Linked DNA regions of Tamandua tetradactyla. The protein of the gene in region 2 binds, or shares a complex with, the protein of the main gene of each other region. Links are inferred from orthologs where the notes say so. Each region holds a gene or a part of one and is shown on either strand. Other genes may lie near its edges.

The links.
Region 1: the proteins of SPINDOC (region 2) and SPIN1 are in contact, whole or in part, in a crystal structure (PDB 7CNA), measured with the Homo sapiens proteins. The link is inferred for Tamandua tetradactyla from reciprocal best matches to the Homo sapiens genes SPINDOC and SPIN1. Residues at the interface, in NP_612480.1 of Homo sapiens: Phe256, Ala258, Pro259, Ala260, Val262, His264, Phe265, Thr266, Asp267, Ser269, Phe270, Pro271, Gly273, Phe274, Val275, Leu276, Gln277, Leu278, Phe279, Ser280; in NP_006708.2 of Homo sapiens: Met154, Thr169, Tyr170, Glu171, Pro174, Pro206, Val209, Val210, Leu213, Lys216, Gln217, Val218, Glu219, Tyr220, Thr229, Val232, Val242, Tyr243, Ile245, Phe247, Asp249, Asp250, Tyr254, Val255, Tyr256, Asp257, Leu258, Val259, Lys260, Thr261.

Annotation. Positions count from the first base shown.
Region 1 is NC_135328.1:11,366,424-11,382,103, forward strand, and holds the start of SPIN1 (spindlin-1), read right to left. Parts: upstream 8,200-15,680; 5' UTR 8,086-8,199; intron 7,599-8,085; exon of another isoform or gene 7,578-7,598; intron 7,449-7,577; exon of another isoform or gene 7,339-7,448; intron 4,271-7,338; exon of another isoform or gene 3,858-4,270; intron 2,851-3,857; exon of another isoform or gene 2,782-2,850; intron 1-2,781. UniProt on the Homo sapiens protein: Chromatin reader that specifically recognizes and binds histone H3 both trimethylated at 'Lys-4' and 'Lys-9' (H3K4me3K9me3) and is involved in piRNA-mediated retrotransposon silencing during spermatogenesis.
Region 2 is NC_135335.1:10,773,241-10,788,508, forward strand, and holds the start of SPINDOC (spindlin interactor and repressor of chromatin-binding protein), read right to left. Parts: upstream 5,850-15,268; 5' UTR 5,763-5,849; coding exon 5,636-5,762; intron 2,931-5,635; coding exon 2,601-2,930; intron 2,516-2,600; coding exon 2,366-2,515; intron 2,187-2,365; coding exon 2,061-2,186; intron 1,849-2,060; coding exon 1,666-1,848; intron 1-1,665. UniProt on the Homo sapiens protein: Chromatin protein that stabilizes SPIN1 and enhances its association with histone H3 trimethylated at both 'Lys-4' and 'Lys-9' (H3K4me3K9me3).

The DNA.
Region 1 (15,680 bases), on a different chromosome or scaffold from region 2:
TTATCTGCTGATTCACCTGGTTGGTATATGGCAGCACTGGGCCTGCAAACTGCTGTGGCAACTACTCCACCTTGCCCTGTAGGTCCTCCTGGAGCTTCTCTATCTCCTAAGCCAAGAATACATCTTTAGCTCCTCGATCAAGGGCCCAGCTATTGTAGGATACTCACACCACCAACCTTAGAAGCAAGAGGAAATGGCCTGGGCTTCAGTCTATTCCACCTGCAGCTTCCAATTTATTCTTCCCCACTTTATATCCACCTTCCTTTCCTGAATGCCTACCCTATGAACTTCCAGCTCCAGCATCAAGGACAAAGGCACAACAACCTTATAGAAACTGCTCAGCCAACTCCCAAAATTTTGTTTAACTCAAATCCTTGCAATCCCTCAAAAAAAAACAAATACTATAAACACATACGCAGATACATATTTTTTCCTCCATTTATCCTAGTAGTTCTGCTCTTCTAATTAAAGCCTAATTAAATAGTATAATTAAATATTACAGTATTCTAAAAAAAGGCAGTTAAAATTCAACAGATGTTTACTTATTACCCATATATATGCTAGACACCTGCACCGTGGACAAGATACTTAAATACACAGCCTCAATGTTCTTACTGGATAATTCTACCTTTCTCACACTGATAATCCAGGCTCTAAGCTAAGTACAAGAAGAGTAACTGTGGGCAAAATCAGGAACATCTCTGCTTTTATGAAGCTCAGCTTTCTGGGGAAAACTAATTAATTATGTAGGCAAATGTAATATTTGAATTTTGATAAGCACCAGAAAGGAGAAATTGGTATCTCTAATAGGAGAACTTGACTTCAGGGAGGTCAAAGAAACTTTGAGAAAAAGTTAATACTTGACAAAATTGCATAAAATTGATGGTCAAAAGCTGGGTAATGGAAACATGGGGGTTCATTGGACTATTCTCTTTACTTTTATAATGAAGATTTTCAAATGCACACAAAAAAAGAAATTTAAAGAAAAAGCGATGCTTAAGCCAAACTCTAAAAGAAGACTAAGAATATCTGAAACAAGCAAAGGACAGCATTTCAGGTAGTGCAAGCAGAGAAAGAACAAGCACCAAGATCCCTGGTGAATGAGAAGATAGTGAGTATGAGAGACTGAAGAAGGACAGTTATGTCTACAGCAAAGACAGCAAGAGGGAATAAATGTGGTACAAAATGAGGCTGCAGCCCAAAAGGATTATATAAACCCTTGAGGCCATGTTATGAAGTCCTTCAAGCAATGCCCTTAAAAACAATGAGAAGTCAATGAGGGTAAGTAAAGGGTGACACACTCAGATCTACCTTTAAAACGGTAATTTTTTGGCACTAACAAAGTTGCCAATGTGTTTACCTTTTACCTAGCAATTTCACTATTTTAAAACTACACCTGCACAAATATAAAACAATGTGTCACAAGATTACTCACTGCAGCAATATTTACAACAGAAATAGAATTTAAAAACCCAAATGTTTATTATTAGAATGCTGCCTCAAAAGGGTGTGAAAAATTTACATAGAGATATGAAGTCATCTCCAGACTAACTTAGATAAAAAGGCAGAAGCAAAAGAGCAAACACAGAATGCTATCTTTTGCACAGGAAAAGAAAGGGCAAAAAAAGTTTCTAATTATATTTGCAAAACTGAAATACTGGAAGAATAAACCCAGAAAATAATAAAAACGGGCAGGAGAGGAATGAGTAAAACAGACATAAATGAAAGTGACACTGTGAATGTTTTTTTATATAGTTTTACTTTCTTTTGGGTGCATGGTCTGGGAATCAAACCCGGGTCTCCTGCTTGGAAGGCGAGCATTTTTCCAATGAACGATCTGTGCATCCAGTTTTGACTTTTAAGCTACACAAATGTTTCACACATTGAAAAAAACTGCACTAAAAAAAAAATTAAAGTAACTCCTAAAAGTGAAGAATTTCAAGCAAATACACGAAACTAATTATCAAACTGATAACATAAATAAAGAGAATATCACAATCAAATGACTGAGAATATCAACTGTACATCCTTATAGGGTCACCATTTAAGAAAAAGAACTATAACCAAGTATAAATCTAGTAGTTTCAATGTTTATAAACTAATAAGTACTGATTTCCAAATATTTGTATTTTAAGATACAGGAAAGTATTGTTGCCAAGAATGCAAATTTTCAATGTTAGCAAAAAAAGGATAAAATCAAAGATAAGTAAAAACCCTGTAATGTTACATTTGAATTAGGAATATGAATAAAAAATCAACATCCATACTACCCCCAGTCTGTCCAATGAAAGTAGTAGCATTCCAGCACCAATGAGAACAAACACAGCACCCAAATTTTGGTATCTAAATTCCACTCCCCAATAAAAGGAGCTAAAAGACATGTAAAGAGCCTGGTACAGCTTGTGCCAGAAAGCAACAAATGTTTCAAAGATCAGTGGAACCATGCATGAAAGTACTCCCAGGGGCCAAAGATGGGACAAAGTGATGAAAAAAATTACTATTCGATTAAAATACACAGAACATATAAAAATCCATGGGTTCACAATCAATGTTAAGAAAGAAAAAGCAGAGAAACTCTCACATGCACACACACAAACAAAACCATGCAAGAAGAAAAATGAAAAAAGCGCTCTTTCTTCTGTTAAGCTGTGCCAGGACCCAAAACTCAGATTAGTAATATTAAATAATCATTTGCAGGCAAATCCAAAATCAAACATAACTTGTAAAGGGACATGAATGCAAGTAACACTGCGCAAATATTCCTTTTTATACAGTTCTGACCTTTTTTTCTTTGGGGGGCATGGTCCAGAAATCAAACCTGGGTCTCCAACATGAGAGTTCATATCTAAACTGTAGGAAAACCAAACACAACTTAATACAAATATAATCTAGGTGGGATCAACAATTCCCTCCTGACCAAAAGGGGGAAAAGAAGTGTAACTAATAAAGTATCAGTGGCAGAGAGAGTTCAAATAGAGCCGAGAGGCTACTCTGGAGGTTGTGCTTATGCAAACTTCAGTTAGACGTTGCTACCTATCATAACCTGCCAAATCCCAAGCAAAAACATTACAGTAAATCCTAAAGAACACCTAAGGCAATATATAAGATTCCACAAGGGTTCCATGCAGTAGAGTAACTTTCCAGACATCTACAACCTCCAGATAGGTCCCTGGACCAGATAAGCCCCAAAACCTAGGGGCCCAGCCTCTCCAAAACATCAGATAGTTCCATCTCCTGACACCATATTAGTGACAGGCCCTTCCAACATGAAAAAGTTGGAATGGCCATAGTCCAAACACCCTTAAAGAGAGGGAAAGAAAGATCAAAGGTGATAGCGGAGTTACACAGAGAAGACAGGACTTAACAAATGAATATGATGGCTGAATCATTAAACTGATATCTCTAGTCTCCAGTATCTTAGAACAGCTAGAAGCAAAAATCTAAAACTGTGAAACTGTAACCCACGTCAAACTCTGAAATATATTCTACCTCTAATTGTGGTGCTGTGCTTTGAAATTTATTGCTTTTTGGTATGTATGTTATTTTTCACAAAAAAAGAAAGAAAGTCAATTGTGATGAAAGAAAGGTATTCAAGCCTTTTAGCCTCCTATATTCTGGAACAGCTAGAAAGAAAAATCTGAGAGGATCATATGGTAGCCCATGACAAACTCTGGGATCTGTCCTATAACTACTTGTTGAAGAGTGCTTTGAAAACTATTGCTTTTTCATTTCTTTGCTTTGTATATAGGTTACACTATAAATTAAAGTTTACATAATCTAGACTAAAAAAAGGGCTTGTCCTTGTAAGTCTTTTTAAAAAAATCTCAAATTTATTAAAAAAAAAAAAAAAGCCTTACCTAGACTCTTCATTTACTCTCTCAACATTCAACATTGTGATGAAATAATATCCATGCTGAATGGAAACTGTCCAGTGGGGCCCAAGCCCCCGAAGGTGAACACAGTAACATTCTAGTGAGTCCGGACTTACTCCCCCTGCCTCAAATGACTTTAATCATCTTCTCTAACAGACTAAACTCTGGAAATTAGGTATTTCATACTGGCCAGAATGTTCCAACAATCTGTTGTAAAAATTATCCTTCTGAAGCACAGGCCTGATTAATGTCGCTACCTTTCAATGGCTTCCCACCATCTGTAGGATAAATGCCAATGACATAAATGTGAAGCATTTAAAACCTACCTCCAAAAAACAGACCAACCATATCACACTATGAGTGGTGGTAAGCAGTGGTATCGGTATCACCATCATCACCACCACCACCACCACCACCACCACATCAACCAGGCCCTTACCATATGCTAGAAGCTGCACAACCACTTTATCGAGCTGCCTCATTTAATCTTATACCTAGTGAAGGAGGGATTATCACCCCATTTTATAGGTAACACTGTCACGCATGAATAAAAGGTAACAGTGTAGGAATAAAATGGTTGTGATTCAAATTCAGGACATACGACCTCTTTTCATGCCTGTGCTTTTGCTGTTACCATCATCTAGAATTCCTTTACTTTCCTACTTTAACATTCTTGAACCAACTACAGCATTATCTTCTCTTCCAAGATACCCCTTAGCACAGAATTTCCTCATTATATGTATGTGTAATCTTCCCTACCAGACTGTAAAGTACTTTAAGGTATTTATGTACTTATATCTATACATTATATCTTTACTGACTTGTTTCAGAAAGTGGTTTCAAGGCTTTAAAAAGCTACCCAATAAAGATCTAACTTAAAATTAATAAACTGGACTGAATACTGAGGCACAACTAAGCAAACTGTTAATTTCAGCATGAAAACAGAAAAATCATACTAATGACTACTGCCAAGTTCAAAAGTAGGAAGGGGAAGGAAATCAACTATTATTGGCCCTAACCACTATCAGGAACAGTACTGGGAATTATACAAATTCATTTAATTCTCACAATAGCTTTACATGAGAGGTTTCATCCAAATTTAAAGTCAATTTGAAGAGTTTGAAAAAGGCTGCATGACGAATCAGATATATAGCTTTGGACGAGTAAGCAGTGGTGCTCAATTTCAACCCAGATTCTTCTGATTTGAAGGCCATGTTAATTCCATGTTTAACTCCAGACATCTTTTTCACAATACCATAACGCCTTCCACTGAACAAATTCCTTGGGTAAAAGAATTGATTCTCTTCTTCCAACTTCTTTTCATTCAAAGGAAAAGAAAAAAAATTCAATTTAGTGCCTAAAAAACATAAAGAAGAATTTACATGGATATACACCAATTGTTCTTTCCCAGCAAATTGAGATTCTAACAGGCAGGCCATAAGAATGTTCAAGCCATTCTTTTTAACCTCTAAATGATCCACATAATTAATTCTTCAAAAACAATAGTATCCTTTTCGTTTATTTCTAACACACTAGGAAAAAAGATGCTAACAATTAAGAAGAACTGTTGGTAAACTTGTTACTGTTCTTAACAATGTGTGCAATCATTTAAGTCACTGGGAAGCAAAAATGCATTAAATATCTTCTAATTAAGACTTCTGGCTAATAGAGCTCATAAAAACTTATCAATACAGTAAGAGCCAGATTATAGGGAACTGCCCATAAAATGCACAAGAACACACAAATCACATCACCACCACCCCCTCCTCAGTTCACAATTAAGGGAGAGGTGCTATTTTCTAAGATATACCATAAAGACACCAATGACCATACTTTCATAATCTAAGTATGTCCCAAGAAATATCAGCTGTTTTCTGATTTCCTTGATGCTAAACAGACACCCTACCAAACCAAACAAGGGTTCTGGGGCCAAATAAATGCAGAAAAGGCTGCAATATTTTTCAGCACCTGTGGCATCTCATTGAACAAGAGTCACAAAGAATGCCACATTAAGCAACACTGCTAAAGACATTCCAAAGCAAAGTTATCGAATCCCATATTGTCATTATGTTCCTAACTGGTAATTAAAGGCACTGTCAAAAACCTACTACAGTGAAATTTGGGGGCTCAATAAGGGTTAGAAAAAACAAACATGAAGAAATAGCAAGGTGTATACTGGTCCTTTTGTCTTACATATTTCATACACTCTTAACAGTAACTATTTCACTACTTAAAAGATTAAAAATTTAAAAACTCAGTTTTATTTCTCATGAGAAATACCAACTACCCAGAGTTTTGACATATTACGAAACCTTAACGTATAATTATTAAGGGTGGGTCATGAACGTTCTATAAATTACTAGCAACTCTAGTTGTTGGTGTTTGCCCATAACTAAAGCTGGAGGTGGGAAAGGAAGCATCAATTCACTTGATCTCTTTTCTGAAATTTCACAACCTCTAAGACCACGAACTCCGTAAGTCCTGATATAAATCGCCAGGTTTAGCTTTAATTCTCACTTCCTAGTGACAGTCACGTAGAAAACAATTACTGTACAAATCAATCCTTTCAGACTGCACCGACTTCATTCCAGAAAATTCGAACAGAGGAAAGTTATATAGGTTTTCGCATTTGGGTACGTATATCCGCTTTGGCACAAATCACGTTGGACAGTGAAATCCTTTAAAACATTTCATTATCTTGTACTACTTTTTATGTTCACGGTAAAATAGCTCAACAATGCACAGCCAAAGAATATGTCTGGAAAACTCTCTCCAAATAACCGGAATCCCGATGAACAAATTAAAGTAAAAAAAAAAAAAATTACGTAAATAAACTTTGAGGTACTTATTAAATAACATATATCACTGAAACCACTACCAAGATCAAATCTCGTAAAATCAAGAATGCATTAATGAAAGAACCTAACAGAAAGCCAAACCAAAACGCACTGCGTAGTTACCGCACCAAAAATTAATCTGAAGAAATTCCTAGTAGAATACATTCAAGGTCACTTATGATGGGGGAAAAAATGTGTCGAAAGAAATGCATTCCCAACGTCAATTCCTTATCCAACAGAAGGGCTGCCGAAGTATTTAACAAAGCCAGGAGAGGGTGCTGCGGCTGCCGGAGGACCGCATAGGATGGGAAATGTGCTAGTGGGCGTTATTGGAAGCAACAGAAAACATGCCTTTTCTATGAATCCAACAACTTCCAAGGACTAAGGGCTCCTCCACTCAAAAGCAACGCTACCTTCAAAACCCAGTACCCCTCACCCTGGGAAAAACAGGGCTACGCGCAAGTTCGTCTACCCACTAACAGAACCATACCCCGCAAGAGACGCGGCAACCCCGGGATTAGCTGCAGACACCCCAGACCTGCCATCCCACCCTCCCAACAGCAGCGCGGACGCAGCCTCCACACGAAAGCACCGCTCTCCGCCCGGCCCATCCGCGACCCAGGTGGTACCGTTTCTCTTCCTCCTCGCCCGCGACGAGCCGCGTCCAGCGCGCAGAGAGACTAGGCGTATTATGCAACACTGAACATTTCGCCGCTGCCAACGATTTTGGCGCATCGTCCCCTCCCCCACCCGCCCTCGAAAATACGCAGAGGCGAAGCCCCCCGCCCCCGCGCGTTCCGGGCTCCTCCGCCTGTCGCTGCCGGCAGACGCCGACAGCTGGGACTGGCCGGAGCCCGCAGAACCTTACCCCGCGCGGGCGGCGGCGCCGGCGCCGAGGAACAAAAGCGGCGCTAAGGGGCCGGCGGCGCCGGGGGCGCGGGGTGCGGCGCGGCGGCGGCCATGTTGGCGGGCGGGGCGCGCCGGGCGCCCGGGACTCGCTGGGCGGCGGCGGCGGCGGCGGCGGCAGAGGAGGAGGGGGCCGAGCGCGGCGGCGAACAAAGAAACGCGCAACCCGCGCGAGGAGGCCCGGGGAGGCCCGAGGAGGCCGAACCGCCTCCACCCCGGGGGTCGTCTCGGCCGGCAGGGGGCGCTGCGCTGGCGCGGCCCGGCCCGGACAATGCGCCGCCGCGGGGCACGGGCTGCCGGGCCGTCGGGCAGCGTTCACCTGGCACGACTTGGCCCGGGCCGGGCGAAGGCAGCCCCGCGCGGAAACCAGGGAGAGACGCCGACGCGCGCCTCACGCCCGCGCCTTCTCTCGCGGCGGCGACGCTGCCCCCGGAGCGGCCCCGTTCCCGCCCGCGGCGGAGAGGCCTCACCTGCCAACCCGCTTGAGGGCCGCTGTCCACAAGCCCCACGCGGGTTTTCGCCGACCCTCTTCTCTCAGGCTCCCTGCCCTGGCCCCAACCCGAGCCAGACGGCGCCTCCCCGCCCCCGCCAAGCCTCTCTTCGCCGCCGCCGCCCGCCTCCCGGCCTCCACGGCGCACGCGCACTGGGCCCGCCGAACTGCGACGGCCCCGCCACCCCGGCAGCAGACTCCGAGCCGGGCCGAACTGCGCAGGCGCTTCCGGGTGGGGGCGGGGCCTCGCGGCTGCTCACCTGGCGGGGCGGGGCGTAGCGGAGTATCGTCCTGGCTTGGAGGCACTGCCAGGTGCGCTAGGCGGACGCCAGGCTGGAGTCGCCTACGCGTTCGAAGTGCGGAGCTCCAGGAGTCTTGGGAGCAAGGTGGGTGCCGTTTCTACCAAAAGTTAGGCAGCTTGGGAGGAGTTTAGTTCTCGTTACTATGAAGACTTTCTAAGAGACGACTAGGTGCTCTTTGTCCTTGGATGTAAATAGTGAATCCTTCTGAGGCGTGCATACCCCAAGGATTTATGAAACTGGACAGAATGGCAAGAACATGCGCAAGAAAGGTGAGCTTTAAACGATAGAGAACATACTAGCTAAAATTGCAGTCGTTCGGGACCGCAGGACTTAAATCCTATAAAAATGCATATAGATTTGTTTCCTGTGATTTACTAGAACAGACGCCTTCCTCTTACCGCTGCCCTGCGAAGAGGTCTAGCGTCAAATCCCGGTCACCCCACAATCTACTTCCATGTAAAAAGCTATTTCTAGGTATTTCATGTTAACTTAAACCCCGAAGCTTCTCCTGCAAGATTCCTGACCTTACCGAGGTTGAGGGGTGGGAGGGCGGCTGGGGGAGGGGGGCATGATTTCTGCAAAGCCAGAAGTTTCAATCTGTACCAAGCCTCCTTCCCAAATGCAAGAACCCACCCACTCTCCTTGCGCGGTTAGAACCAGACATTCCCACGCTTGCGCGTTAATCTGTCCTTCTGTTTAGGTTAAGATACGCTTGGAGTATTAGGTTTACGTTGCTTGCACGAGAAGGGGTGGGGGAGGGAATGAAGCATGGAGAGCAGTTTTGAATGCTTCAGAGTGGACCGAAGGACATAGAGGCTGAATCCGGGTCTGCATCTCGCCGCCCGCTCCCATCCCGCCCCACGCGGTCACTAGACCTGTGTCCTGAGCTGGTCCCACTCCCTGTTCTGGTTCCTCGAGTGCGACAGCGCAGCCCCAGCACCCGCATGATAATAAACCGTCTCCCAGAGTGTTGTCGGCTCACGTTGCCGAATGCAATATTGGAGAAAGCACTTTGTTCACCCTAAATTGCAGAGCACCGAATGCAGTATTGGAGAAAGCACTTTGTTCACCGTAAATTGCAGGGCATTTGTGAGTTAGTGTTCTTTGGGATTATCCTGGCAACTTTTCTTCCAAGTAATTTTGTGTGCCTACACAAACAAACTGGAGGGCACATCTTAAATGACACGATGTTCATAGGCTAATTAAAGGGTTAACAAGTATATATATCATAAAATAAATATATTAAATAGTACAATACATCATTTTATATTGTTTATTTTATATTTTTGTATATATTTGTTATTGGTATACAAATAAATATAATAAATGCACATACATCGCTGTGCTCACCATATAATATTGAGAAATTGCATTCTTTTGTGTCCTTTTGTGTGTTTAATTTTTGTCTCATGAGACAATACAGGAGAATCTGGAACAAGAAGGAATGGGAAGCAGATATGTGCTCAGAAGTATGCTAGTTGGGACGCTTCAGTATTATAGTGACAGGTTTCTCAGTCTGTCGCTATTGACATTTAGGGCAAGATAAGTCTGTGCTGTCGGAGGCTTTCTTTGCATTGTAGGATGTTTGCAGCACCCCTGGCCTCTACCCACCAGAAGCCAGTAGCACACATACACCACCCACAACCAAAAATACCTCAAAACATTGCCAAATATCCCCTGGGGGCGGTGGAGAACCACTGTTTTAAATTTTATCTCTAAAGATGGTCAGATTGGGAGCTTATCAAGAATGCTCAGGCATGGGAATGCACATGGCCCTATATCAGAAAGGGCCCCACTTCCTGGTCTTTCTGCCATCAGCATTTCAATTACCTTCTGAAGCCTTGCTCATTAGTATCTTGTCTTAGGTTGCCAGGGCTGCTGTAACAAAGTGCCACAGAGTATTTGGCTTAAACAGCAGGAATTTGTTGTCTCATAGTTTGGGAGACTAGAAGTCAAAATCAGAGTGACAACAGGGCCATGCTTTTTCTGAAATTGGTTGCATTCTGATGCCGGCAATCTGTAACTCAGTCTCTGCCTCTGACGCGTGGCTGTCTCGCTACAGTCTGCCTCCTAATTCTCCTGCCTGTGACTTAATTCCTTCTGTTTACTGGGACCCCTGTCATATTGGATCAACTTCGGCTCACCTTAATACCATCTTCAAAGATCCTGTTTACAGATGGGCTCACATCTACAGTGCCAGGAGATAAACCTTGAGCATGTTTTTGGGGGGGACATGACTGAATCCATAACACATCTTGAATTTCAAAAATGGGTTTTTACATGACCCATGTGTATCTGCTAAAAACGTTTAAAATGAATCTAATCAGAAAAAATCAGACAAATCCAGATTGAGAGGCATTCTGCAAAACAACTGGTCTGGACTCTTAAAAACTCAGTATAAGCATCCCTGGCCTCTCTATGCGCTAGAAACCATTAGCACACACATCCATCGCAGTTGTGGCAATCAAAAACATCTCTGTATATTACCAAATATCCCCTGGGGGCGATTGAGAGCCATGTGACAGAGGCAGAGAAAAACAAAAAAGGTAGGGAATTATTCCAGAATAAAAGAGACTATAGACTACTCCAGTGCATGGCCCTTAAGTGGAAAAAAATAAAAAGCTACCATGGAAATTTGGGGGGACAATTGGGTGCTCTGAATGCATTACGGAATCATCTTAAACAATGCTCTTGTTCTCAGGAGGCACATAACAAATTACTTAATTCAAGTGTCCAGATGACTACAGCTTACTTCAAATATTTCAGAAACAAGTACATTTTATATATAAAGAAAGCAAAAGTAGCAAAATGTTAAAGTTGGTGAGACAAGGTATAGGATCCATATGTATTCATTGTGCAATTATTTCAACTTTGGAAAAAAAATGTTCAAAATATAAATTTGGAAAAATAGAAGACAGCATAATTTCATGAATTTCTAGGATACTTTAGCCACACTGTTCTACTTTTCAGGCAGCTCCTGCTCGCTTCAGTTTCCCAGTCTCACAGAAACTCACCAACAAGCCCTTCCAGAAACTTAAATTTTCTAGTCAATTTATTTGTAGTTTCTCAATCACGCTGGAAGATTAGGTTAGAAGGGCCTACATAAATTTTTCCTCCTGCAGGAAGTTTATTGCTGGCAAGTAAATCAGCATGTTAATAGTCTCAGCCTGTAGCTCCCACTCTGTTTTCATCTTCTGCCCTATGGCTAGAAAACTCTCGGGGCACCACTCATATCTTTTAAATGGGCTCCTACCTGGAGAGAAAGTTCTGCCACAGGGATGAACACACTTGTGATATAAGAGTGGAAAGAGGGAGCAATAGCAATGAACCTCAGAATATTCACTACACTGACTCTTATGCAATAATCAGAAAGAGACTCAAGGCAGCCTTTCCAAATTAGTTGTGTTTGTTATGGAATTATTCAGCACAGCAAGAAGTATCCAATATTTACCCATTTGCATTAGCTAAACCTCTAGGTGGGTGGGCTTGATGGTTCAGCCTCCAGCCTTGTAAGAATGCTGTCTTCAGATATACAAATAGACTTTTGCACATTGATGTTCAGGGTGGCATTACTCACGATAGCCAATGGATGGATGTGGCCACAGGGTCCGTCGACTGATGAGCTGTGCTGTATACATAGAGTGTTGTGGGGCTACAGAAAGGAATGTAGGCATGAAACAAGGTGAATGAAACTTGAGGATATTATGTTAACCAATATAAGCCAGAAACGAAAGGACAAATATTGTATGGTCTCATTTAGAAAATGCTTATAAGAAAACTAGGGCTTAGATTGTAAGCTCTTAGAGTAGTCGTATTTATTCCTGAGTTTTAAATGTTATTTTCAAAATGCTGAGATGCTGTACTCTTTGTATGTAACTTGATAGTTCCCTGGATTTATGGTTACCTGTGTGATTCAGAGTTAGACTCAGAGTTAAGAGTTCTGCAGCTCTGAAAGTCAGCATTACTCCATACTGCGATGGTTAAAAGATGAAATAGAGTTCAGACTTCAATTAGAGATATGAATGAAGCTGATCTGTTTGGGACTAAGATAAATCAGAATACAAGTAAAGGATGTATAGTCTGCATATTAAAACTTCAACTTCTGTATGAGACCAAAGGAAAAGAGGTGTATTTTGTCCAAAATCTAAATTTTCTTAGGCATACTATCTAACTTAACCTGTCTAACCAGTTTATTTGCACATCCTAAATACATAGAACCTAAAATAGAGAATGAAATCTGATGATTCTGTATAGCTTAATGTAATACCGAGATACATTCCAGAGTATTTTGGGCAGATAATAAAAAAGTATGTATAAAAAAAAAGGAATGCCATCTTCCCCAGTGTCACATGAGCTATCCTGTGATTGATGTGCTAAGATGCTCCCATCAAAGCTAGGTCCAGAGCTTTGGCATTTAAGCTTTGAGTGAGTGAGTGACATCTGGTCCCCATGCGGCAGGAGCAAGTGTCATTGTCAAGCTGGAAGCTTTCAGGGTTCTTCAGCAACCCTAACATAAGGTCCTTCAGTATGGTGGGGGTTCATGCTGGCTCTGCCTCTCTCACCCATGGCTGTATATGCAGACTTGGCAAATCTACTGTGTGACTCCTGATTAGATGGTGGCCCTCTATGGTACAGCAGCAACCCTCCTATGTTGGTTCTGATAAGGTGCTTAGGCCAGATCTACCACTGAGAGTCAACTGATTGATGCACACTACAGGAGGAAACATGGGGTCCAGGGCTGAGGAGACCACAGCCCATCTGGATGGTCAGCAATGGGACCAGAAAGAGGGAAGGAGTTGAGAGCATAAGAAGGAACAAGGTCAGAAACAAATAGTGTTTCTGTTCAGCTTTGCCTGAAACCCTCCAGGCTTCCATGGAGGAAGATACATTCTCTGTGCCTTTTGCTTTTGTTCTCTGCTGTACCTCCACTAGCCAGAAAAAGGGTTCATTAAATATTCCACAGAAGACGATTTAAGGCCTTCAGGTCAGCTTCCCAAGACATGCTCTACACCTTTAATCTATGAGATTTCAGAAATTAATCCTCCAGAGGAAGTAATGTGGTTAGAAGGAAACACAGACGCTTTAGATGCAGTTGCAAGATCCAGGGTGATCCTTACCTCCTCTTTGGTCCAGCCCCCACTCTCTGACACCTCTCCCATTAACCCAAGGCTACCTCTCTAAGGTCCAGCTCAACCTGCAGAGCTCAATATCTGGAAGGGCCTAGCCAGCCTGCTTCCCAGAACCCCTTAGACCACCTGGGCCTACACTATAGTTTCTTCCTATTCTAGGGTGAAGGAGCAGCTTGTTGCTATCCTCTCTCCTTGAAAGTAAAGCAGCAGTGGTGTTAAAAGAGTGTAGGAACGCAGTCAGGAAGTCACTCTCTCTACACTCTTTTTTTTTTTTTAGCTTAATGACTTGCTCCTGGAGCTTCAGAAAAATCAAATGACGATGTCATGCCCCTTCCAGGCTTCTCTCACACAATGAGACTGTCAGCGTGACTGTCCTGCTGAATGAAGAGGAAAACCAGGGGCGGGCCGCGGTGGCTCAGCGGGCAAAGTGCTTGCCTGCTATGCCAGAGGACCTCGGTTCGATTCCCGGCCCCAGCCCATGTAACAAAAAAACGGAGAAACAGAATACAATAAAACAAGAAAATGTTTAAAGATGTTTCCCTTTCTTCCTTCCTTCCTTCCTTCTATCCTTCCTTCCTTCTCTCTGTCTTTCCTTTAAAAAAAAAAAAAGAGGAAAACCAGAACATCCCTTTCAGTCACTCACTCATCAAATATCAACTGAACCCCTAGCGAGCTCGAGGCACTGCATTAGCCTCTGGAGGGGATACTGTGTCTACATACATAAGCATGTTTACGCTTCATGAAGGGAACAGCACATGGCACTCAGAAAATGTTTACTGAATGAAGGACTCAAAGGGCAGCATGGCAATGAGCAGAGCTCAGCCATCTGGTCAACTACGTCAATCTCCCCTGCTCCACTGTTACCTCCTTCCAGGTTGTCTTATGCACAGCAGGCAGATAGAGATTTTTAAGTGTCTCCTCAGAGAAACTTTCCCTGACCAGATACCAAAGTAGATTGCTCACTCTCACTCTCTCTTACTTAAATCCTTGTTTGTTTTCCATCATAGCACCTATTTCCTTTTATAATTGCATGTAGTATTGAAATATTTACTTGAATATCACCAGTTCCCCCACAGGATTAAAAGGCCTGGAAGGCAGGAACAAGATCTGTTTTCATTATCAATATATTCCCTGGAGCAAAGTCTATTCAACAACTATTTGTTATAAATTAAGGCATAACTTGTTCTGGGAGTTCTGGGTTGTATGGATTTGTTAGGATATGGGCTTATGAAAGGTCTTGAATGCCAGGAGACTGGGTACTCTAAACTCTCCTTAACCAATCTCACTGGGTTATGTCAATAACGAAAGATACGATATAAACTGTGCAGAATTGCACACATGTAAGGGACTCTCACCATCCAGTACAAAACAATTGAAGATGATCAATCAGCCTTGTAGTAAGAACTTTGTTGAATCAGTCTGGTTCTATCTAGAAAATTCTGAAATCTAGGAAACCACTTAAAAGTTTACTGTAAGAAACTTTGGGAGACATGATTTGAACAAGATGCAATGCTCATGAAAATGATCATTTTCAAACAGTAAGCAAACTGGTTATTTGATGATAATAAGATGTCATTATTTTATAGTGGGGGACTATCTTAATTTGTCAGGACTGCTTTAACAAGTTACCACAGGTCAGTTGGCTTAAACCACAGGAATTTATTGTCTCATGTTCTGGGGGCCAGAAGTCTGAAATCAAGGTGTCAGCAGACTGCAATCTGTAGGATTTTGTTGGTGGCTGGTAATCCATGATGTTCCTTGGTTTGTGGCATAACTCAGTCTCTGCCTCTGTCACAGAGCTAGCTATCTCTTTCTCTCTTACTCACTGTGTCCAAATTTCCTCTGCTTATAAGGATAGCAATCATATTGGAGAAGGGACCATTCTGATCCAATTTGGACTTATCTCAAGTAATAACATATTCAAATATCGTATTTCCAAGTAAATTCACATTCACAGAACCAGGGGTTAAGACGTGGCAATGTCTTCTGGAGAATACAATTCAATCTATAACAGAGGGTGATAGTGGCATAGTGGTGAAGGTGAAAAGGAGGGAGTGATCATCATTTAGTGATATGTTCCGAAGGATTTTCCATTAGAAATTATGTCTGAGATTAATTTCAACTGCCCTCCCCTTGCATCTGAA
Region 2 (15,268 bases):
TCTGTGAGGAGCAAGACCTGCCTCAAGCTTATAAAAGAGGAGCCCATTTTGGCAATCTCATACACACACACACATGCACATGCACGCACACACACGCACACACAGACTTTGTAAAAAGCCTGAGGCATATAGGCCAAATTGCTAATAGTGGTTACTGGCGAGGAGGGGCCAGAGGGGTAACAATTTGCTTTTTCCTTCATGCATAAAGCACACCTTTTTTTCCCCCAATATACAGATAATTGATTATCTCCAATTGATGTTGGAGAAAACACTATGAAGTGCTATGAGCACATCTGGGGACGGGGAGGACCTGGTGAAGCACACCTTCCTTTTGAGAGCCCTATTCTAGGGAGCCTCCAGCCATGCGGCGTGCCATCTTTCTCTGGGCTCTGACTCCAAATGCACGTTTCAGACAAGCTGGGACACAGGCACTCTCTGGGTCACTCAAATACTTCTTCAAGAAGCATTTCCTGAGCCTCTAAGATGCTGCAACCATGCTCGGCATGGAGAGACAGAGAGAGAACTGGCCCTGCCTCTGCCCGACTGTCATGCATTCCAATCTCATCTTGATTTTGTCACCGCTTAGTTCCGTGACTGCGTAGGCAGTGCAAAGGCAGGCTACCCCCGCCCCCCAAAGATAGCCGCACCCTAATCCCCTGAACCTGTGGAGATGCCATGTTACAAGGGGAAGTCAGGCTGCAGATGGAATTATGGTTGCTAATCAGATGACCTTAAGATAAGGAAATGACCCTGGATTATCTGGTGGGTCCACAAGGGTCCTTAAATAGGAAAGAGGGAGGCAGAAGAGTCAGAAGCACAGATGGCCTCCTGAGAAAGACGCAACTGGCCACTGCTGGCTTTGAAGATGGAAGGAGGCCATGAGCCAAAGAAGTGGGCAAACTCTGGAAGGTGGAAAATGTAGGAAAATGGACTTTCCTACAAAGCTTTGAGAAAGAAATGCAGCCCTGCAATCCCTTGATTTTAGCCCAGTCAGACCCATGTCGGGCTTTTGACCACCAGAACCGTAAAATAAATGTGCACTGCTTTAAGCCACTAGGTGTCTGGCAATTTGTTACAGCAGCCAATGGAAATGAAGAAATGACCACTGGGAAGAAGGAACCATTCCTCTGGGATTTGGACTCTTCACCTGGAAAAGCGGATAGACACCTGCCCCTTTCACTGCCAGGTATCTCTGTAAGGACCAAATGAACACCATATATATACATTACTTAACATCAGCAGAAGATGATACCAACACAGTTCCTGCTCTTAGGTGATTTACTGAGCTGGTTTTCCCAGAGGTGTTTGTACAGCCTTCAACAGGAGTATGCTGTCTTGAGACCTGCCAACTGGACTGCTGAGTGGCCCCATTTGGGCCCATGCTCCACCAGGCTGAGGTGCCTCTCAGGATCCAGCTGGAACACTGGCCTTGCCCAACCTGACAACCGATTCCAGGAAACGCTCAAGGAAATCTTAGAAAAGCTCAGCATCCTGACCAGCCACTTTGATCACTCAAATCCCCCTGCCTTTAGCCCTGTCTCCCAGGGTACCTCAGTATCAACCGTCTCCCTGCTGGGCTCTGCGGTCGAGCAGCCTCACTGAGGTCAAAACCCAGGGATGCTGCTTGCCCAATCTCCTCTTGTCAACCCTTCCCAGAGAGCTCACCTGGGGAGGGGCTTTCTCCTGCCGCTTTACCCTCATTGGGTGAATCCTTGCTCTCTGAGGATCTAAACTGGGTGTGGGAAAAGAGTTGGAGGACGAAGCCAGGGGGGAAGGTGCCATCAGTGAAATGTCGGACTTCAGCTGGGGCTGCGAAAGTCTCTGTGGGCGAGTCGGGTGATGGGGGATCTGGGAAGGGAGAAGAGAAGGAAACTATGAGTTCAGGCAGCCAGACTTATTAGCCCCGTCCAGGCCAGAACCCAAAAGCCTGCATCTCGAGGCCCCAGGTGAGCTGCCAGGTGCCCTCTGCCTGGGCTCCACCCTATCCTCACTGGCTCAGCTGTCTTCCTGGAGCACTGCAGCCAGAACCTGTGCCCACACCTCTGGGGCCTCTCCTTCACCTGGGTCGGGGTCCAGAGTTTTGGTCATAGGTCTGCCTCTTTTCTTTCGGACTGGCTCTTCCCCAGGGGGCTCCTTCCATTTCTGACCACGGGGCTTCTTATTTCCTGGCTCTGTAGCAGGGGCAGCTGCAAAAAGAAAAGACCTTATGCCTTTTTAAGAGCCCATGCCTGAACCCTGATGCCCCCTCCCAGGACTCCTCAAGATACCTGCACGCCAGCAGCCTTTCCCCACCCCAGAACACAGGTTTTGTGTCTTACCCAGCCCCCACTTAGCCTTAGATACACCGGCTTCCCAGATGACTGACCAGGAAGCTCCAGTGGACGGAGGCCCCTGGGCCGGCTCCTCTTAGGGAGAGATGGATTGTCCTCAGAGTCAAGGAGGACGACAATCTCCGCTGGCATTTTGGTAGGGTCTGGGTCAGAGTCCAGGTCTTGATCCACAAACCGGCCTGAGTCTGAAGGGGGCAAATACCCAGTGAGCCCCAAACGCTCCACTAGGGCTCATTTTTTCCCTCTGCCTCCCACCCGAGACCCAACTACCTGAGCTGGGTGGGGACGGCTGCTCAGCTCTGATGTCCTGCAAAAGGGCCACCCCTTCGCTCCAGGCCTCCAAGATGTTGCTCTTCTCAGAAGGGCTCAGGTCCAGGGTGTGAGGATGCTGTTCCAGGATGTGCAGGCGAGCCGTGTCGGCCGAGGGGGCCCGGATCTCGGCGCCACACACCATGCACAGCGCCCGCCCGCTGCCTCCTGGGCTGCTCCCCACCAAGAACTCCTGCTCCCAAGACACTTGCTGCTTGGGCTCCTCACAGCCATCACCACCTGCCTCTAGCAGGTTGGGTCTAGGTGGTGGGGTCTTCTCCTGTTGGGTCACTGTGGAGGAGGAGGGGAGATGTTTATCAGGTGCCCACAGCCAACGGTACTTAGAACACGCGATTCCTCAAACTTGATGGTGAGTGTATGTGTGTGTGTGTGAGATCCCTATCCAAAGTCTTTCTCTCCCTTCTCCTGGAGTCCATGAAGCACAAGTCACATGGAACAAAGCCTGTGTGTTTGGTATCCTGCTACGCACACTCCTACACCTTCTTCCAATCAAGTCTTAACATAGGTCTACAGGTTTTTCCCCCATCAGCTGTGCTCATGCATGTCTTCAGCTTCTGCACACCTGTCCAGACTGCCTCGGAAAAATTCCCAGGTTCCTTCATGGCCTTGTTCAACCCATCATCTGTGAAGCCTTCCTGGCCTCCCACTCTGGCAGCTGACTGTATCCACTTCTGACTTCCAGGCCATAATGTACGTTTCTGGACAGCCTGGTACGTAGGAGAGGAGCTACTCAGTGAGCTTTCTGTCACCAAATGATGTACCTGCCTGTTCTACCTGGTGAGAACCCTTTGCCCGTCTCTGATCTCTACCCCTTCCCAGATATCTGCACGGCTCCCTTACTTCCTCCAGGTTGTTACTAAAGGACCACCCTCCCGACTGAGGCCCTCTGGGCCACTCTGTTAGAAAGCTGCCATCCCACCACCCGAGCACCCCAACCCCTGCACTGCTTCGCTTTCTTCCATAGCACTTATCACCCCCTGACCTAACACATCTTACTTGTTTACTGCATCTCTCCACGATACTGTAGGTTCCACGACAGCATAAACATATGACTGTTCAGGCCTGGCACACAGTGGCGCTCAGTAAGTTTTGAAGAGGGAATGGCTCTACCTCCATCTTTTCATCACTGGAATACTCCAGACTCAGTCCCTGGACCCCTCCTCTGTCTACCTCCTTCCTCTGATGGTCTCATCCAATTGTTGGCCTGACAACTTACATATATGCAAATCCAGCAGGACTCTCCCATGCAATCCAGTTAGAGCTCCTGGATCTAACTCTAACTGACCAGTGGTCTTCTCCACTTGGATGGATAAAGACATCTTCAACTTAACACCTGCAAATCCTAACCCCATTCTTATAAACCTCCATCTCCCAGTCATCCCAATCTCAGTAAATGGAAATCCATCCTTCCAGCTGCTCTTGAATTCATCCTCACTTTCCCTTATACTATAATTTTTTCAAGAAGCTTCTGCTTCAGGACCTTTGCACTTGTTATTTTCTCTGCCTGAAATGCTCTTCCTCAACTATCTACCAGGTCCCCCACCACGCTTTGCTTCAATTCTGTGCTCAAAACTCACTGTATCAGACACCTTCCCTGACTACCTGACAACATACCAAATAAAATACTCCAGACACTCTTTTCTCCTTACCCTACTTTAGTGTTGTCTGCATCACTTATCGCCACCTGAGATACTATACTTTTATATTCCTGCTTGACTTCTTCAGCCATTGGAATGCATGTTCCACAAGAACAGGGTTTTGTCTTTGTTTACAGCTGTTGGCATCCCAAGCCTAAGAGACAGCCTGGCATGTAGTGGCTGCTCAACAAATATTTGTTGAATGAATTACCCTCTCTGATCTCCGATTTCCTATCCCTCACAGTGGGGAGAAGGTCTCCCTTGCAGGGCTGTGGAGAGCATTATACGTGACAGTCTGACAATGGCCAGGAATGCAAAACCTCAATAAATATCAGGGGAGGTGGGGAAATAACCTCTTTTGGATTGAAGGCTCAATTATATTTTATAATCCTCCTGATTCTGAAAATGATGAGACAGTCCACATAGACATCATTATGTTCTGTTAAGGTTAAAAGAGCAAGCCGGTTCCCTCCCCTCTCCCATTTTCACAAGGTCTAGATCCCCATCTCTTCTGGATACTGTCCCCAGCTGTGGGAAGAAATACTGGAGAATCTAATGACATTTGTACTCTCATGAACATTAAGTCTTCCACGAAGGTGGCCTTTTCTTATGATTTTCAAGATCCTGTGTATTTGGCATAGGGGGAGGGGAAAGCGAGTTTTCCAGATTGTTCCTCAAATCCCCTCTCCAGGTCAATCTCGTTTTAGGGCGGGTAGACGACCCGACAAGCACTTCCTTTCCAAAACTGGGTGCTGTGTGCAGTCCCATTCACCCCTGGCGCTCTAGAAACTGACACCTGTGGCTTATGCAAGTGGAAGGTCTGGGAAAGGGGAATTATCTCCGGGGCCAGAAAAACCCCGCGCATGGCGCGCCCTTAAGATCCTCCTCTTCGAAGGGCTGCAGCCCAGCCTACCCCCATCCTCCGACTGCCTCCGGACACCCAGCTGTCCGGCCTGGAGGCCTCGCGGCCCCTCGGCCTAGAACACGGCCTCGCGCCGGTCTCGGGGCCGGGAGACGGCGGCCGCAGATACCCAGCGTCGCCCGGGATCCGGCCTCCCGCGCTGGGCCCGGGAGAGGGGGCGCTCGGGCACCGGAAGATCCGGAGCGCGCGGGGCGTGGATCGAATGCTCCAGACCCGGGGCCGGGAGGGGGAGGGGGCGGGGGGGACGGATTCGGGGAGGCCGGAGATTCCAAACCCCGGTGGGGGCGGAGCCAGAGGGCGCCGGGGCCTCAGACCCGAGGGGGAGGTGGGGGTACCCCGGCCCCGACTGGGGGAGGGGAAGCCCGAGCCCTGGACCCTGACGCGGAAGTGGGGGGGGGGTTCCCTCCCATCCTCACCTCTGAGCATCGGCTCGGGCCGCGGGATCACGGCCACCACCGTGGCCTCCGCCTCGTCCTCCCCTTCCTCACACTTGAGCGTCACCTCGAAGCAGTCGAGCGCGGAACCCTCGGCCTTCAGGGCCATGGTGAGGCCCGGGAGGGTTGCGGTCACCGGCCCCGGGAGGACGGGCGCGCAGGCCTCGGCGCCGCAGACAGCTGCCACCTCCCGCCTGGACAGCGCCGGGCCCGCGGCCCGCCCCGCGCTGCCCCCTCCCCGCCGCTCGCTCGCTCGCCGGCCGGGCCTGCGACGGGCGAGTCCAGACCTCCCCGACACCACAGAGCGTCGGGACCCCGGACGGGGAGGGCTCAATCCGGGGCCCCAGCCCCCCGCCGCTCCCTTTTATGGAGGCTCATTGTCCGCGTCCGCCCGGCCGCCCGCATGGGCCCCGCCCCCCGAGCCCCGCGCAGCCAATCGCACGCGGCCCTGCCCTGTCCCCGCCCCCGGGCGCTCGGCTCCTGTTAGAATCCCGGGGACCTGCGGGGAGGCGCGAAAGGCCGCGCGCAGGCTCTCGGCCGCCCCCCAGCGTGGAGGCGGGGTTCGCCCGCGTGGCGTCTAGGCCCCCAAAGTTCCCCCCTGGCGCGTGGGGGGTGGGAGACCCGGTGGCGCGTCGTGAGGCGGCCGGCGGAGGCCGGTGGGTAGCTCAACGCTGGGATGCCAGTCGGGCGTTTTTGCTGCCATCCTACCAGGTGCCCCAGGATTTTGCCCTGCCTCCTCCAAAAGATGCCCAGGGCGGGAAAAAAGCCGGTGGAGGAGTGCAAAGGCTTTGGCACGGAAGAACGGTGACTGAATTCCTGCTGCTTTGCCAGCTCGGCGACCTTGGGCACGTTATGTGTTTTCCTAGGCCCTTAGGCCGCCTCAGACAGCATTTCAGAAAAACATTCGTGGAACCTTCTGGACAAGGGAATGCAAAGATGCAGAGGAGCTCAGTGTAGCGTGGGCACGCACAAACCATCCCCGATGATTACGATTTCCTTGTTCCAAATGTGAGCGCAGAGCTTCCATGAGCTACCCAAGGTCACGCGGCAATCCTTTGAGCGCCCCAAGACCGGAATCCAATTCCCATGACACTGCCGCATCATAATCCTATCCTATTCTGACTTTCACCTCTGGAAGTGGAATGTGCATGTCCCTCTGTTGTATAAACCCTCGTGAGATTTCAACTGGGAAAAAGCAATATATCTGACGCGGAAAAATCCATCTTAAAATGCCATGCCGTAGTAATTCAGAAAATATAGAGGGATGGCTGGAGATCGAGTGGGCTGGGGTGATAAAGCATGTGAAGGTACTGGTTTATCAATATATATTTTTAAGGAAATAACTGTTGACTTGCAAATGCATCCAGTACTTTACAAGTTTTGCAAGTAAAGGTATTAGTTAGCCTGTTTCATTTCTGCTTAATAGTTGCTTTCTGCCTTTTACCTGGAATCTAGGTGTCGCTTGCCCTCCTGGTCTACTATATTGCTGCAGGTGGCAGTTTCTCAGGCGTCTGGGCCAGCTGGCTACTGGCCTGGGTTTGGCCGATGGGAGACAGTGACAGGAGACTGGAAAGCAGGAGGAAGAAAAAGGCTAGGGTATTTCATCCTTCTCACTAACTTTCAGCCTCTGGCAAGTCTCCAGCAGCAGCAGTGGCAGCAGATAAAGCTACTCTGTGGTTCAGGTCTTGCTGGAGAGGCCTCCTGTGATTCCAACTTCTGCAGGGTGACTCATGCTGGTAGCTCCAATAATTCCTCTATTTGCTTTTCCACTTTAGGGGTAGGGAGCAGCTTCCTGTTTTCGGTCATCTCTGGGTTGCCTCGCTGTGCCACCAATACCCTGCATTAAATTCCATTTTAAATAGATGGTAATTAATATTTAAAAAATTTAGCTTATGTGTGAGACTAAAGCAAAAAATGTTTATTTGGTACAAAATTTATATATATATATATATATATATATATATATTTTACTTTTAAAAAGGGCAATTTATTAAGTTGCAAATTTACTGTTCCAAAGCTGTGAAAATGTACAAATTGAGGCAAGGTTATGAAAATGCCTAAATTAAAGCACCAACAATTTGGTACTATCACTCAAGGAAGGTCAATGAGTTGGGAGTTTCTCTCTCAGCTGGAAGGGCATATAATGAAGTCTGATAGCTTTCTCTCCTGGCCTCTAGTTTCATGAAGCTCCAGCAGGGGCATTTTCCTTCTTCATCTCCAAAGTTCTCTGGTTGCATGGGCTCTAAGGTTTTTTAAGAGTGGTTCCCTCTTTTTTTTTTTTTTGAAAATTAAAACTGCCTTTAATGAAATTGGGTAAACAAGAAAAAGTCTGCAAAGGAAAATGAAAGCATATAGTTTTAAAGTCCTCACCTAAAATATGAATATTTCAAAGTTAAACTTGTTTGATAATGTTCTGGGGAAAAAGAAATTTTACAAAAGCAAGAGGACTACAAAATTTATATTTTGGCTAGTGCATTTCCTAATATAATTTATGCAGACGGCTTAATTGAACACCATAAGTACATGGAACCCAGAGTAGGGCATGAGATTTTGCTGGTTTGTCCAGAGTGATGCCCCGATAAATCCCAGAAGGATTTGAACGGTGAATAAAAAAGTATTTGCAAAAAAAAAAAAAAAAGTGAGAAAGGGGGAAAATTCAACTTCCCCAGGTTGAATTCGTGATATTCTCATAAAGAGTGGGGACAACCAAAGCTATAGGCTGAGCCCCCAATCTTGGGGTTAGGTTATATGAAACTTAACCCCACAAAGGATAGGTCAAGCCTACTTAAAATTAGGCCTAAGAGTCACTCCCAAGAGAACCTCTTTTGTTGTTCAGATGTGTTTTCTCTCTCTCTCTCTCCAGCCAACACAACAAGCAAACTTACTGCCCTCCCCCTGTCTATGTGGGACATGGCTCCCAGGGGTGTGGACCTTCCTGAGAGTCACCCCCAAGAGAACCTCTTTTGTTGTTCAGATGTGTCCTCTCTGTCTCTCTCTCCAGCCAACACAACAAGCAAACTTACTGCCCTCCCCCTGTCTATGTGGGACATGACTCCCAGGGGTGTGGACCTTCCTGGCAATGTGGGACAGAAATTCTAGAATGACCTGAGACTCAGCATCAAGAGATTGTGAAAACTCCTAGAATGAGCCGAGACTCAGCATCGAGGGATTGAGAAAACCTCGACCAAAAGGGGGAAGAGCGAAATGAGACAAAATAAAGTGTCAATGGCGGAGAGATTCCAAACAAGAGTCGAGAGGTTATCCCGGAGGTTATTCTTACACATTAAGTAGGTATCACCTTGTTAGTCAAGATGTAATGGAGAGGCTGGAGGGAACTGCCTGAAAATGTACAGCTGTGTTCCAGTAGCCATGTTTCTTGAGGATGATTGTGTAATGATAGAGCTTTCACAATGTAGCTGTGTGATTGTGAAAACCTTGTGTCTGATGCTCCTTTTATCTACCTTATCAACAGACAAGTGAAACATATGGAATAAAAATAAATAATGGGGGAACAAATGTTAAAATAAATTTAGATTGAAATGCTAGTGATCAATGAAAGGGAGGGGTAAAGGGTATGGTATGTATGAATTTTTTTCTGTTGTCTTTTTATTTCTTTTTCTAAATTGATCCAAATGTTCTAAGAAATGATCGTGATGATGAATAAGCAACTATGTGATGATATTGTGAATTATTGATTATATAGATGTAGAACTGAATGATCCTAAGTTAAGAATGTTGGCGTTTGTTATTATTTTTTTAATTAAAAAAATTCTATTTTAAATACATAGAGTGGGTCCTATTTCCTGGATGGCCCTTGTGTGTTACCCAAGACTGTACCTGTCACTTTGTATGCATTCTTTTAAAAATCTAATTTATTTATTAATTTATATTTTTTTACATGGGCAGGCACTGGGAATTGAACCCGGGTCTCTGACATGGCAGAAGAGAATTCTGCACTGAGCCACGTTTGCACCACCCTCTAATTAATTTATTTTTAAATGGGGTGACACATATGTAAGACAAAAATCATTTTAAGTAATCATTTAAATAATTTGACATTAAGTACGTTGACAATACTGAGGTAAATTTTATCGGCTCCATTTTATGGAGCACAAAGTTGAGCTTTAGACGGTTAAATTATTTGCCCAAGGTAATACAGCAAGAATCACATTTCATCAAATCTAGGATGAACAGGGTTTTTTTTTGTTTTTTGTTTTCATATTTTAATATCCCTAAAATGGGATACATACTATAATTGAAAGCAAAGTGAAGTTTTAGGAATACCCCAAGAAAGTAAGAGATAGACCTTCTGAGAAACAGACCATGATGTTCCCAAGAGAGCATAAAAAATGAGATTTAGACAAGACCACAAAAATGGGTTTGACTTTCTGAGTGATTGCTGCTTCTAGTAAATGACAACTCCAGTCTTGCACTAACCCTCCTGGATAAACATTATAAAGACACCCAGCCTCTGAATTTTCCCTGCTTTTCAGAAACGTCCGATTCCGAACTGGTCTTGGTTTCCCTAAATCCTCTGCAGAATCATCTGACACAAGCCCAAATCCTTATAGAGACACCCCTGAGGGTTTCCCTAGGGTGCATTTTCCTTTACTGCGACAAGCTAAATAAAGCTAACCTACTTTTATCTACAAGTGTGTGCTGGGTAATCTTTAGTCACAGGGCTTTAATAACTCTAGCCAATTTGTTTTGCTCACATTCTCATTTTTATACATAAAAGAGTGACATATAATAAAAATCTATGTCAGAATGAGTAAGTCTAAAAGGACTCTTTTACTAATGATAAAACTATGCTTTTCACTATAGTATCATGCTATCTCTTAGTGAGCTTTAAATTAGTTGTTAAATGAAAGGTAGGTATCATTAGCTCTCATATATATGGATGAAGAAACTGAAAAAAGTAAGTCGCTCAAATCAAACAACTACAGCCAGTGACATATGCAAGACTCTGATTGCAAAGCCTCTTTTCCATTACTCTGAGAAAACTCTCTCTGCACCCAGGGTATGAGGGGAAAGTTCCAGATTATCTTAGATGGAATTATTATGAATTCCCATCCACTGGTTACATAGGCAGTGCTTAGTGAGTAATTGCTAAAGGAAATAGAATCTTAATTGTTGGTATATCCCCATGTGGAGGAGAGAGGGACAAAGGAGCTTTACCAAACAAATTATGTTTGGCAACTTGTCTTTTGACCTAGTGAACTTGGCCTTGGGGTATGAGATTCCTCAAACAGCAGCAGGACAGGGATGCGAGTGGATTGCCTCTGTCTCAGCAATAGCTGCTCCAGGCCATTCCCCAGATGTCCTGAGCTGGGATGAAGCATTTCTGCGTGGTACAGGTTTTACTGGTGGTGACGAGACGGGACAGAGAGTAGGCACTACAGGAAAAAAAGCTAAATGAAGCACTAGGTGGGAGGAAGACTGTTCCAAGACTAAGAGAGGGAGCTTCGTTCCTACCTCACTTGGCATTGCGTAGTGGTCTTCAGCAAAAGCCATACAAAGAGTATGTTCTTTGGCTTGGCAATCCTATCACCAAGCGTTATCCTGAAGAAGTCATTCAGAGAAGAGAAATAACGGCTTAAAGATGTCGATCGCAGTATTCACCACACTTGAACTCTTCATTATTTAAAACGGAGCAGCTTATCCTTCCTGACTGAAGTTTTATTCTGTTCTCACGAGTAGTCAGAGGTCCCCTTTTTTCCTGTTCCCAGCCTCAGCCGGAACCCCTCTACTGTGAAACTCATCCAAACCGCACTGTAATTATGTTGGCGTATCTCTGTCCTTCACAGCCTGGGAGTACATGGAAGGCAGGCCCATCTCTTGTCCATCTTTGTAGTCTCAGCATTGGTCCAGGGCGTATGATCTTACGACCAGCTCAGTGCCTACACCTCTGAGGTCTTCTTGCAGAGACCTCAACTCAAAACTAGCTTGAGCAAAATGGGGGGATTTATTGGCTCATGGAATTCAAGGAAGGTTTGAATGCCTGATCGTGGAAGGACAGGGATACAGGCAGGCTTTAGGGATAACAGGCCACCAGGGAATTTTTGCCATCTCCTTGTCTTTGCTCTTCTCTGGGATTCAGACTTATTCTCTCCTGGCTCCCACACCTTACCCCACCGGCCAGGAGATGTGGCTACTATTTCTCAAAGACTAGCTTCTAGCTGTGTCCATTTCAAACTTCATTTCTCCTTGAGTATCCACATGTACATCTGGTGCTGGGCACGGTGGGACAGGCTTATATCACCAAATGACTTCTAACCCTGCATCTCAGTACCAAGAAGTGAGGAGAGGCAGCTTGGTGAGCAGAAAGAAAATTCCCAGAACCACTCCTCCTTAGGGACAGACAGCTATTAACTGGATAGGGAAGTGACTATGAACTACTTAGCTCTATACCATTTCACCCAAGTTAAAATGTGCTAAACTTAGCTTCCCCTTATTGGAAAATGCCAACTACCCTTCCAGCTCTGCCTAGCATGAAGGGAAGACTTGTGGAAAGGAAAGCAGGGAAAAAACTCAGCCAATCAAATGCAGTCAGAAAATTTGCAATGAATGAATATGAACATAAAAAGCATTAGAAATAACCACAATATCTGAACACTGGAACTGGCTAATTAAATAATGGTGTATTAGGCTGTACCGAAAAAGATAATTACAAAGATTAAAGCAACATGGAAAAACAATTGTGAAATAATGTTAAGTGTGAAAACCCACAAACATTTATATGCTATGATTATGCAAGCATAATTTATGGGGGCAGATCATTGGTAAAGAAAATGTGTACAAATACTTCAAAATGTAGTAAGTACCGAGTGGGAGAAAGATCAAAGGTGATGGTGGAATTATACAGAGAAGGTCAGGTTTAACAGACAAGTATGACTGCTGAATCATTATATTGATATTTCTTTTAGTCTTCAGTACCTTAGAGCAGCTAGAAGTAAAAACCTAAAATTGTAGAATTATAACCCATACCAAACTCTGAAATCTATTCCATAACTAATTGTTGGGATGTATTTTGAAATTTATTGCTTTGATGTACATATGTTATTTAAAGAGAAGGAGGAGTATAACAGAGAAGATGGGATTTAATAAATGAATAGGACTGTTGAATCATTATAGCTCCAGTGTCCTGGAGCAGCTAGAAGAAAAACAAAACAATTGTGGGACTGCAACCCATACCAAACTTTAAAATCTGTTCTATCACTACTTGTTAAAATGTACTTGGAAATTTATTGCTTTTTTGTATGTATGTTATATTTCACAATAAAAGAAATTTTAAAAATGTAGTACCATAAAAATTCATGCAAACTTTTAAAATGATAACACAGACCTATATAGAAAGGTATCCCTGATATATTAACTGACAAGAGATTACAAAATAATGTTTAACATAATCCTACTTTTGTTAAACATAGCGTCTGTGTGTTTTTATATACGTAAGAAATTCTATAAGAATAAACTTAAACTGCAGATGATGACATTAGGACTAACCTTTACATTTTGAATGTCATCATTCCTTAATATCCTTCGAGCTCTGTTTCTGTTGAAAACATTTCTGTACCGCCTGATGTTTTTACTTTTATAATCAGAATGTAAAATATAGTCGTTTCTATTAAAAAAAAATAAAAGATCCGTTTGCAACAGACAGTCAAAACAGGCAAATCCTTCCTGAGCAGGAATGGTTACCATTTGGCCCAAATAGCTTAGTGTTTCCACTGACTCCACTCCCTCCTGTAACAGGATTGCATGCTTGCAGCCTTGTTACCTTGAGGCTTTTTAGTGCCTCTCATCAGGCAGGGAAGACCTTCCCACCTCACGGACTCTGGACTCAACCACGTGATTTCCCATGGCCATGGAATGTGAGCACACAAAGTAAGCTGTGTCTTTGATGAGTCTTTACATCTACTTGTTTGGTCTCTGGGGTCTTGCCATCTGCCGCCAGAAGACCATGCCCCAGATGAATGGCTGCTTCTTCAGCAGGTGTCCTGGAATGAGAGACACACGGAGAACTGGAACAGACTCAACCCAACTGGAAGCCAGTGAGCAAGAAATCAATATCTACTGTTGTAAATGAGTGAGTTTCTGGGCTGTCTGCAAAATTGCCACAGCAGAAAACTGACTAATACTCTAGATGCTACATTCTGCCCCAGAGTCCCTCGTTGTTGTTCTTTTAATGTGTGTGTGTGTGTGTGTGTGTGTGTGTGTGTGTGTGTGTGTGTGTGGAGGGTGGCATTAAGGGGACAAACTGTTTTGGATTGCCAGTGATTGAGTTTTCCAAGACATGGGACTTTCAGGTTTATTTTAATTCACGTGGTATTTTAATCATCATATAACCTACCTATTTAAAGCTTACGAGTCAATGTTTTTATTTATTTTTTTGTATATTTATGAGGTTGTGGGACCATCACCAAAATCTAATTTTAGAACATTTTTGTCTCTTATAAAAGAAACCCCGCATCCATTAGTAGCCAATCCCATTCCCGCTACATTCCCCCAAGCTTCTAGCTCTAATTGACCACCCATCTACTTTCTGTTTCTACACATGTCCCTATTCTGTACATTTGACATAAATGGAATAAATCAATATGTGTTTTTTTGTGTGACTGGCTCCTTTCACATATAATAATGTTCACAAGTTTCAACCACATTGTAGTAGCACCTCAATTCTTCTTGTCAAATAATATTTCATTTAATGGATAATCCACATTCTATTTATTCACTTATGAGTTAAGGGACATTTAAGTTGGTTCCACTTTTTAGCCATTAATTAAATAAGGTTGCTATGAACATTTGTGTACAAGTTTTTGTGTGGTTGTATGTTTTCAATTCTCTTGAGTGCATACTTAAGAGTGGAATTGCTAGATCATGTGGCCACTCTATGCATGACATTTTGAGCAACTGCCAAATTGTTTTCCATAAGAGTTGAACCATCTTTACAATCCCATCAGCAATGTGTGGGGGTTCCAATTTTTCCTCATCCTCACCAACACTTTTTTTCTTTTTTGCATGGGCAGGCACCAGGAATCAAACCCGATTCTCCAGCACAGTAGGCGGGAACACTGCCGCTTAGCTACATTGGCCCGCCCTTTTTTTCTTTTCCTTTTTTTTCCTCACCAACACTTTTTATTGTTTGTCTTTTTTATTATAGCCATTCTAGTAAGTGTAAAATGGTATCTCATTGTGGTTTTGATTTGAATTTTCTTAATGACAAATGATTTTGAATGATGTCTTATGTGCTTGTTGGCCGCTTGTGTATCTTCTATAGAGAAATGTCTATTAAAATATTTTCCCAAAGCCCCCTTCGGGGAATGGTGAGAGTGGGGAGAAATTCAAATTCCCCAAGTTGAGTTCTTGATGTTCTCACGGGCAGTATGGACAGCCGGGGCTGTGGGCTGGGCCCCCAGTCTTGGGGTTTGTTCATATGAAACTTAACCCCACAAAGGATAGGTCAAGTCTACTTAAAATTTAGGCCTAAGAGTCTCCCCCAAGAGAGCCTCTTTTGTTGCTCAGATATGGCCTCTCTCTCCAGCCAACATGACGAGCAGTCTCACCACCCTCCCCCTCTCTGCATGGGACATGACTCCCAGGGGTGTGGACCTT